Linked DNA regions of Macaca fascicularis. The protein of the gene in region 2 interacts with the protein of the main gene of each other region in a biochemical or structural test. Links are inferred from orthologs where the notes say so. Each region holds a gene or a part of one and is shown on either strand. Other genes may lie near its edges. The genes, in order: COPG1 and TMED10.

Region 1 (4,404 bases), on a different chromosome or scaffold from region 2:
CACAGGGTCATCGAAGGCGGGAAACCAGGAAACTCCACTCCTTACTTCACAGTCGTGCCAGCCGCCTCACAGTGCGAGGCAAAAATGGAGGAACACTGAATAAATGGAAGTCTGGAGAACTTTCAGGAATCGCGCACTTAGCCCTCAAACGATGGTGTACACTAGAATGAGCCTTTTCTGTCCCCGCACCCCAGCCCGCCAGCTGAATCTCTAAGGGTGAGGCCCAAATTTTTAAAACAGTCCTTACGGGTGTACTTTGTTCTCAAAGTTGGTAAAATAACCTGGCTTGAGTTTAAAAGCCTGCTCCCCTTGGGACCTAAACCGGAGATTTCTTTATCTGCAACCAACAGAGAATACTCTAGAGGGCTGTTCTTCGCCTATGCTGATTCGCTGAACAGGTAGCAGAAACCCCAGGGCACACTCCACATAGGACCTGATGCTGGAACGGCCACAGGACCCAAGCCCTTTGGAGCCTCCGTTTATCGACTACCAGAGGAGGATGCGTTGCGAAGAAGCACGAGTGGGAGGGAGTGGGAACTCAGTGCCTGTTAGCTGATTCACTCAACTAACCTGTACCGCTCCCACCCCTGGGCTTGGTGCTGGGACAGCGATGACGGGGAGAGGGTCCTGCCTCACAGGATTAAAACAGCCAAAGGGCTGTGGGTACAAGGGGGACAGGGCACGTGTTCTGCCTCTTGGGGGAGGCCTTGAAGGGGAAGGTGTAGCAATCATTCAATAAATACATGCTGATTTATTAGAGGGATAAGATGGTTTCTTGGGGGATAAATTCAAGAGGAGTCGAGAATGTTTTATTCATTTACAATGTCCCTTTCCTGGAAGGAAGGATAGCAAGATTTAGGACAAGCTAAAATCATTCCCTATTAAAAAAAAAAAAAAAAAAAAAAGGCACCCCCAAGTAGTCCCGGGTGGGGGGTAAGGGCAGAATAAAAAAAAAAATCTGCAATGATTCCTAATTGTTTTTGAATACAGAAGCTTGGGAAGGGGTTTCCGCCAGTTTCATGAGGAAGGCACAACTTCCAGGTAGTGTTGGGGGGGAAGGGCATAAGGTCCTATGCAGGCTGGCTGCTTATCCCACAGATGCCAAGATGATGTCTACTGGCAGCTCCTCCAAACTTCTGGCTGTCACCTGCATTGTCACTGTGTCCAAAAGCAGCAGCCGGGAACGCACCAGGATGTCATGACCACCCCGGAACACACCTAGAAGGGAAGACAGAAGTACAGGTATATACAGCAGAAGGGATTGTACAGGGCAGGCTAAGGATGGCATTTGCAGCAGCCCATCAAGACAGCTGTGGTATAGTGAAATGGGCAGGAGAGCTGGGCTGAAATCCCTGAGTGAGGGATTTCACTGTGAAAGTCACTGACTCTCGGCTGGGCACGGTGGCTCACACTTGTAATTCCAGCACTTTGGGGGGCCGAGGTGGGTGGATCATGAGGTCAGGAGTTTGAGACCAGCCTGGCCAACACAGTGAAACCCCATCTCTACTAAAAATACAAAAATTAGCTGGGCATGGTGGTGGGCGCCTGAAATCCCAGCTACTCGGGAGGCTGAGGCAGGAGAATCACTTGAACCCGGGAGGCGGAGGTTGCAGTGAGCAGAGATTGTGCCACTGCACTCCAACCTGGGTGACACAGCTAGACTCCGTCTCAAAAAAAAAAAAAAAAGTCACTGTCTCTCTGGGCTTCAGTATCCTCAACTACAAAATGGCGGGGATGATAATACCATATTCAGGCTTCTGCTAAGTTCAAATGAATTGATGGACATAAAAGGCTCGTATCTGACGTCACATAGGCTCTTGCATGTTGGCTGAATCTGACAGCACAAATGAAGGGGACAGCCCCACCACGAGAAAACCACAGGGCAGGTGTCTGCAAGACCCAGGGGACTGGGTTGTTTCAATGTGGCTACAAACTGTCAGCTGTAGACAGGGTACTGAAGCAGAGCCTCCTTTCAACCCTGTTTATAAACACTTAGCCAAAAAAAAATCATCCCATTTCCTTTTGTTAACTGTTTTAGGTATGATAATTGTATTGTCCTTTAAAAAAGGGCAGGGGTCATTATCTCTTAGAGAAACATAAAGATACAGAAGAATTTACATATAAAATGCTATTTCTGGAGTTTGCTAGTAAGTAATCTGGGAAGGAGAATGAGTGCAGGTACACTCAGCCAACCCTGTAGAAAATAAGACAAAGGATATGAAGACAGTGATCAGAAAAGGAAATACAAATGCCTCAACATTTGAGAAGATACTTAACTTCAATGAAAATACAAAAACTACACTAAGATATCATTGTCCACACAGACTGGCAAAGATCATAAAGTGTGGTAACATATTGTGTTGTCCACAGTGTAGGAAAAAAGGTATACAATTCTATGAAAGGCAACTTGGAGTTATTTATCAAGATGAGAAACACAAATCACTTTGACCTGGTGATGCCTTGGAAAATTTATCCTACAGATATTCTCAGTGTACACATGCAAAGTAAATTGTGTGTGTGTGTACACGATTATTTACTGTAACATCTGTAATAGCAACAGATTGAAATCAAACTAAATGTTCATCAGTAGCGGCTGTTCCACAGAATATGTGGTGCATCCACACAATGGAATACTAAGCAGCTATAAAAAAAAAAAAAAAAAAAAAAAAAAGGATTCAGTTTGGGATGAAAAAAGTTCTGGAGATGGATAGTGGTCATAGTTTTACAATAGTGTGAATGTACTTAATGCCGCTGAACCACACACTTGAAAATGGCTGAAATGGTGAATTTTATGTATATTTTACCACAATTAAAAGAAAAAGAATGAGGAAGCTCTACATATTGGCAGGAAAGATCTCTTAAGATGCATCGTAAAGTGAAAAGCAAATTGCAGGACAATATACCATTTGTACATAAACATTTGAGTTAAAAAAAGGAAATGTGTTCCTTTATAGCAATAAAATAACTGCAAGGTTATACAGGCATTGTTTGTAATAGTAACACTGGTCGTTTCTTGGAAGGGAATCTCAATGGCTGGCAGCCAAGGTAAGGTGGAAACATTTCGCTGCAGATTATTTTATAGTTTGCGAATTTTAAATGCTGTGAATTTTGACTCCCCGTATTTACAGTTAAGTCCTTAGCCCAGGATCCAGTGGACATCCAGGCTGTAAGCTATCCAGGCCCTCCCCACCTGGAAATGCCACTTACCAGCCAGAAGCAACGTGTGGGTATTCTTGTTATCCGGCACTTTGTCTGACCTCTCACAAGGGTGCATTCCCAAGAACTTCACAATATTACCCACAGCCTCTATAGTGAGAAATCCCAATATTGTTAAGCCATCTTGTCTGCCCTTTGTGCCACCACCACTCCCCCATGTTCTGAAGGGCTTTTAATGAAATGGCATTTGACATATGTGCCCCAGACATGGCCCTGGATCCTTGGAGAGAAAAGGTATAAGCACTTCAACAGTACCCAAAGATCTTGAACGGCAAGTAGGCCAGAGGTGGCATTCCCAGGATTTTACCTTCAAGTGTCTTGATGGTAGACAAGGTGAATGTTTCCTCCTTCTCAAATTCATCCCCTACCTCATCCCAGGCTGCTTCGAAGTTCAGTTTCATGACCTTTTGAATGTGATCAGCTACAGTAACTTCCAAATCTTCCAGCTGGAGAGATGGAGATAGAAATCAAGCACCCATCCACACACTCTGCTCTGAACTCATCCACACATCCCTTCCTGCCAACTCTTTCTGCAGGTGCTTGCTCGGCACTGAGGACTGTGCTAGACTCTGGGGACACAGAACAACTTGACCAGGTACCTATCCTTGAGGTGCCCACAGGCAAGTGGTATCCCTTCAACAGAAAATGCCCTAATCCCAAGTACCAATCTACTAACTCATCCTAGAGCTGCCTGCTGTGAGATCACATCTCTTTTAAGCCTGCCTAGTGTCAGTGCTTCCAGGATCTGGCATACAGGGAATTACATAGCATTCTCAGAGGTCTGCTTCCTATGCCTGTCATTTCTAGGGGATGATGAGCTCTTCAGGAGCAGCAGCTGTTTCTAGTTCAGCAGAAACCTCCTACCCCAGCTGTGTCCTCTGGATTTGACAGATCCTGAATCTCTGTCTCCATTTCAGCTGTGTCTTCTCTGAACTTGACACATAATACTCCCACTGAGTCCACATGAAGGTTCCCCATTCGTTCTCCCATCAGATTTTCACTGAGGCCCTACTCCTGTGGATGTTTACAGTGTATATAAATACAACTTCGACCCAGCTCTTTTTTTTTTTTTTTTCTATCATCTCTGGGTGGGCTCAAACAGACCCAGCTCTCTCAAGGAGCTCACTTGGTCTTAAAGCAGCTCCTGCCTCAGGGTCATTTCCAGCTTAAGGAAGGTCCATCCATCCT
Region 2 (3,817 bases):
TTTGTCATAGGTGACTCTAATAATAGACCTATTGTTGCAAAACCAGTCAAAATCCTACCAAATTAAAAAGTCCCTCATTGATTTGTTGGGTGTAGGTGGTACCCCACGTCCTCCCACACCAAAAGAGATCAGTTCTGGCAAGAAAGCTCCAACATGCCTTGATGGTGCTGTTGGTAGGATGCCTTAGGCCAGGCACGTCCCAGCGATGTTCTGCTGGCTGAGGTACAAGGTGGGAGGAGAATATGCCTCATTCATTACTCAATCAACTTCTTGGCCTTGAAGAAGCGTCGTAGGTAGAAGACCTGCCAGGTGGCTAGTCCAATGAGGCAGAACATTGAAAAGATGCTGAAGTATAGGACCCGAGTGTTTGTTGACTCTAAAAAAAACAAAAACATTGTAAACATAATGAGTGAGCCTCCTCAGCTGGCTAAACAATGGCAGGGGAGCAATGTAAAGGCAATTAATTAACTTCACTCTGTCCCTAGGTCTAATAGTAGGATTTCAGATAATTTTTTTTTTTAAGTTCATTATCCTGGCTGGGCGTGGTGGCTCATGCCTGTAATCCCAGCACTTTGGGAGGCTGAAGCAGGTGGATCATGAAGTCAGGGGATCGAGACCATCCTGGCTAACTCTGTCTCTACTAAAAATATGAAAAATTAGCCGGGCGTGGTGGCACGCGCCTATAGTCCCAGCTACTTGGGAGGCTGAGGCAGGAGAATCGCTTGAACCCAGGAGGCGGAGGTTGCGGTGAGCCAAGATCACACCACCGTACTCCAGCCCGAGCCACAGAGTGAGACTCCGTCTCAAAAAAAAAAAAAAAAAAAAAAAAGTTCATTATCCTATATATAAATGTTGAAAATAACAAAGCTTGCTGCTATCAATTTGATATGGGTATAGACTAATTGAGGATGCTGTCAACTGCCTATCACAGTAGCAATTTCTACTCTCTTGAAAATCTAACAAGGCTCATTTACCTTTAGCAACAACAGCAGCGAAGTAAGCAATTTCCCTTCCATATACCCGCCTTGGCAAAACTGAGAAAAGGATACACCAGAATTGAAAGTTTGGAGACTGTCTCATTTATGGGTCACTTAAGAAGTAAGAGTCGCCTTCCCCCTCACCGTTGGTATCACGCATCTCCTCTTCTCTCTTCTTCATGTAGGCAAAATCATTAACAATAGATTCTGAAAGGTCTTCTAGGCGTCGCAGCTCTACCTCTAACGGTTTGAGCTTCTCAACTTTTGCAATCTGGAAAAGAATGGAATATTTTCAGCTCTCTGAAAACATCGCTTCAGTCAAGAACATAAAGAAGGCAACAGAAGAGTCTTTTTTAAAGTTTCACCAGATTTAAATTCTCTCCTATCAATCATCCTAACATATTTTAAAATTTGGGCTTGTTTCTTTCCCTATAGACTGTATCTTTCCATTTCAGACCTTTTTTTATACTTTAATTTTGACTAAAATCTCTTTACAAGTAATATAATAACCGCAGGCTATAAAGCAAGATATACTATTGTCTCAAGATTTTTACTTTTTTTTTTGAGACAGAGTCTTACTCTGTTGCCCAGACTGCAGTGCAGTGGCATAGTCTTGGCTCACTGCAGGCTCGACCTCCTGGGCTCAAGCAATCCTCTTGCCTCAGCATCCCGAGTAGCTGGGACCACAGTCATGCAGCGCCACACCCAGCTAATTTTTGCACTTTTTGTAGAGATGGGGTTTTGCCATGTTGCCCAGGCTGGTCTCCAACTCCTAAGCTCAAGCAATCTGTCTGCCTCAGCCTCCCAAAGTGTTGGGACTACAAGTGTGAACCACCATGCCCAGCTGATTTTTGACTTTAGTAAAGCACTTTACTTTGCCCTTCCACTCATGTCTAAGAAGTAAACAACATTATTAATATAATAAATGTGAGTCATATTAGGTCAAACCTGGTTTTAGAAGAAAAACCACTAAATTCATTAAACCTTTGACAGTACATATGAATGTGAGCATGTGTTATTAGAGCATTAAAGTAATACTTCAAAATACACAATTAGAGAATTCTGGTTTGTTCATATAAATCCTACAACAACTTTTAAGGTTTAGTATCAGAGCTCAGATGTGAGAAAACTGCACTGAATTTTTTATGCATTTTTTTTTCTTTTAGAATGACACAGTTATCAAAAGAAATCTCCAAGGAATTCCCTGTATGCTGAGGAATGAAGGATGTCAGAAAGAAATTAACTGTCTTCTGTTCTCAAGTTAGATCCCTAAGAAAACTCTTAAGAGTATCCAATAACTAGAGGCATCTATCACACCAAAGATTGCACTATTCTATGTTTTTTTTCTTATCAATCTTAGATTATGCTTTGCTTTAAAATGGGATACACCACCAGAGCTTTCCTGATTTTTTTTTTTTTTTTTTTTTTTTTTTTGAGATAGAGTCTCGCTCTGTTGCCAGGCTAGAGTGCAATGGCACGATTTTGGCTCACTGCAACCTCCGCCTCCCAGGTTCAAGTGATTCTCCTGCCTCAGCCTCCTAAGTAGCTGGGACTACAGGTATGCGCCACCACACGCAGCTAATTTTTTGTATTTTTAGTAGAGGTGGGGTTTCACCATGTTGGCCAGGATGGTCTTAATCTCTTGACCTCGTGATCCACCTGCCTCGGCCTCCCAAAGTGCTGAGATTACAGGCGTGAGCCGTCACGCCTGGCCAGCTTTCTAGATCTTAAAACTTCTACATACCAGTTGCTCTTAAAGTTTCCACGTAGAGAATTCTTTAATAACTATCTTTCTTTCTTTTTATTAATTTAATTAATTTATTTATTTATGGAGTCTCACTCTGTTGCCCAGGCTGGAGTACAGTGGTGTGATCTTGGCTCACTGCAACCTCTGCCTCACAGGTTCAAAAAAATTCTCCCACCTCAGCCTCCTGAGTAGCTGGGATTACAGGTGTGCGCTACCACACCTGGCTAATTTTTATATGTTCAGCAGAGATGAGATTTCACCACGTTGGCCAGGCTGGTCTCGAACTCCTGACCTCAAGTGATCCACCCGCCTTGATCTCCCAAAGTACTGGGATTACAGGTGTGAGCCACCACATCTGGTTACACCTAATAATTCTGTTTCTATATCTGCTTCTTTACTCCCTATTTATTTACATTCCCTATGGCCCACTTTTTTTCCTCTCCTTTGTTCAATTCATTGTCCTTGTTCTTTCTCTTTGTGAAATGTTAACAGCAGTTAACAAGGGATGAATAGGAGGAATTTATTTTACATTTTCTTATTACATTTTTCACTAAATGTGTGATGAACAAAAGTTATTTAAAATAAAACAAACTGCTGTTAAGATTGGGATGTAAAAATTGAGTTTATATTTAAGGTTCATAAAAATATGGTGATAGACGCGATGATACACCTACGTTTTCTCTCACCAGATGCACATTTTCTTGCATTTATAAAATGTTGGCTAGAGTTAACGGTGTGACTGGTAACTGCAGAACAGCTTCTGGGTGTAAGATTTAACCAACAGTTAATGCACAGAGCTAACTTTCTTAAGTGAATGGCCAAATGCCAGGTTTTGTCATTAACCCAGAATGTATATCTATTCATTGATCTCATATAGAGCTGCAGAACAAAAAAACATTCCCCAAGAAAAATAAGAGGAGCTATACAAGCTGAACCTTAGTCTAACATCTTCCCTCCTGCTCTATACTTCCCCACTCTGAGCTTCCTAAATGAGACAGTATAAAGGAAATGGCATGATACTTCTTAGAGATAAATTATTTAAAGTTCCCTAAATAGAAACTTGCAAAAGAAACTGGAAGTGAAACTACGGCTG

Evidence for each region.
Region 1: the proteins of TMED10 (region 2) and COPG1 form a complex in vitro, tested with the Homo sapiens proteins (2 studies listed by BioGRID). The link is inferred for Macaca fascicularis from reciprocal best matches to the Homo sapiens genes TMED10 and COPG1.

The regions. Positions count from the first base shown.
Region 1 is NC_088376.1:154,147,092-154,151,495, forward strand, and holds the end of COPG1 (coatomer subunit gamma-1), read right to left. Parts: intron 3,663-4,404; coding exon 3,524-3,662; intron 3,307-3,523; coding exon 3,208-3,306; intron 1,219-3,207; coding exon 1,088-1,218; 3' UTR 732-1,087; downstream 1-731. UniProt on the Homo sapiens protein: The coatomer is a cytosolic protein complex that binds to dilysine motifs and reversibly associates with Golgi non-clathrin-coated vesicles, which further mediate biosynthetic protein transport from the ER, via the Golgi up to the trans Golgi network.
Region 2 is NC_088381.1:143,084,534-143,088,350, forward strand, and holds part of TMED10 (transmembrane emp24 domain-containing protein 10), read right to left. Parts: intron 1,249-3,817; coding exon 1,122-1,248; intron 377-1,121; coding exon 255-376; 3' UTR 1-254. UniProt on the Homo sapiens protein: Cargo receptor involved in protein vesicular trafficking and quality control in the endoplasmic reticulum (ER) and Golgi.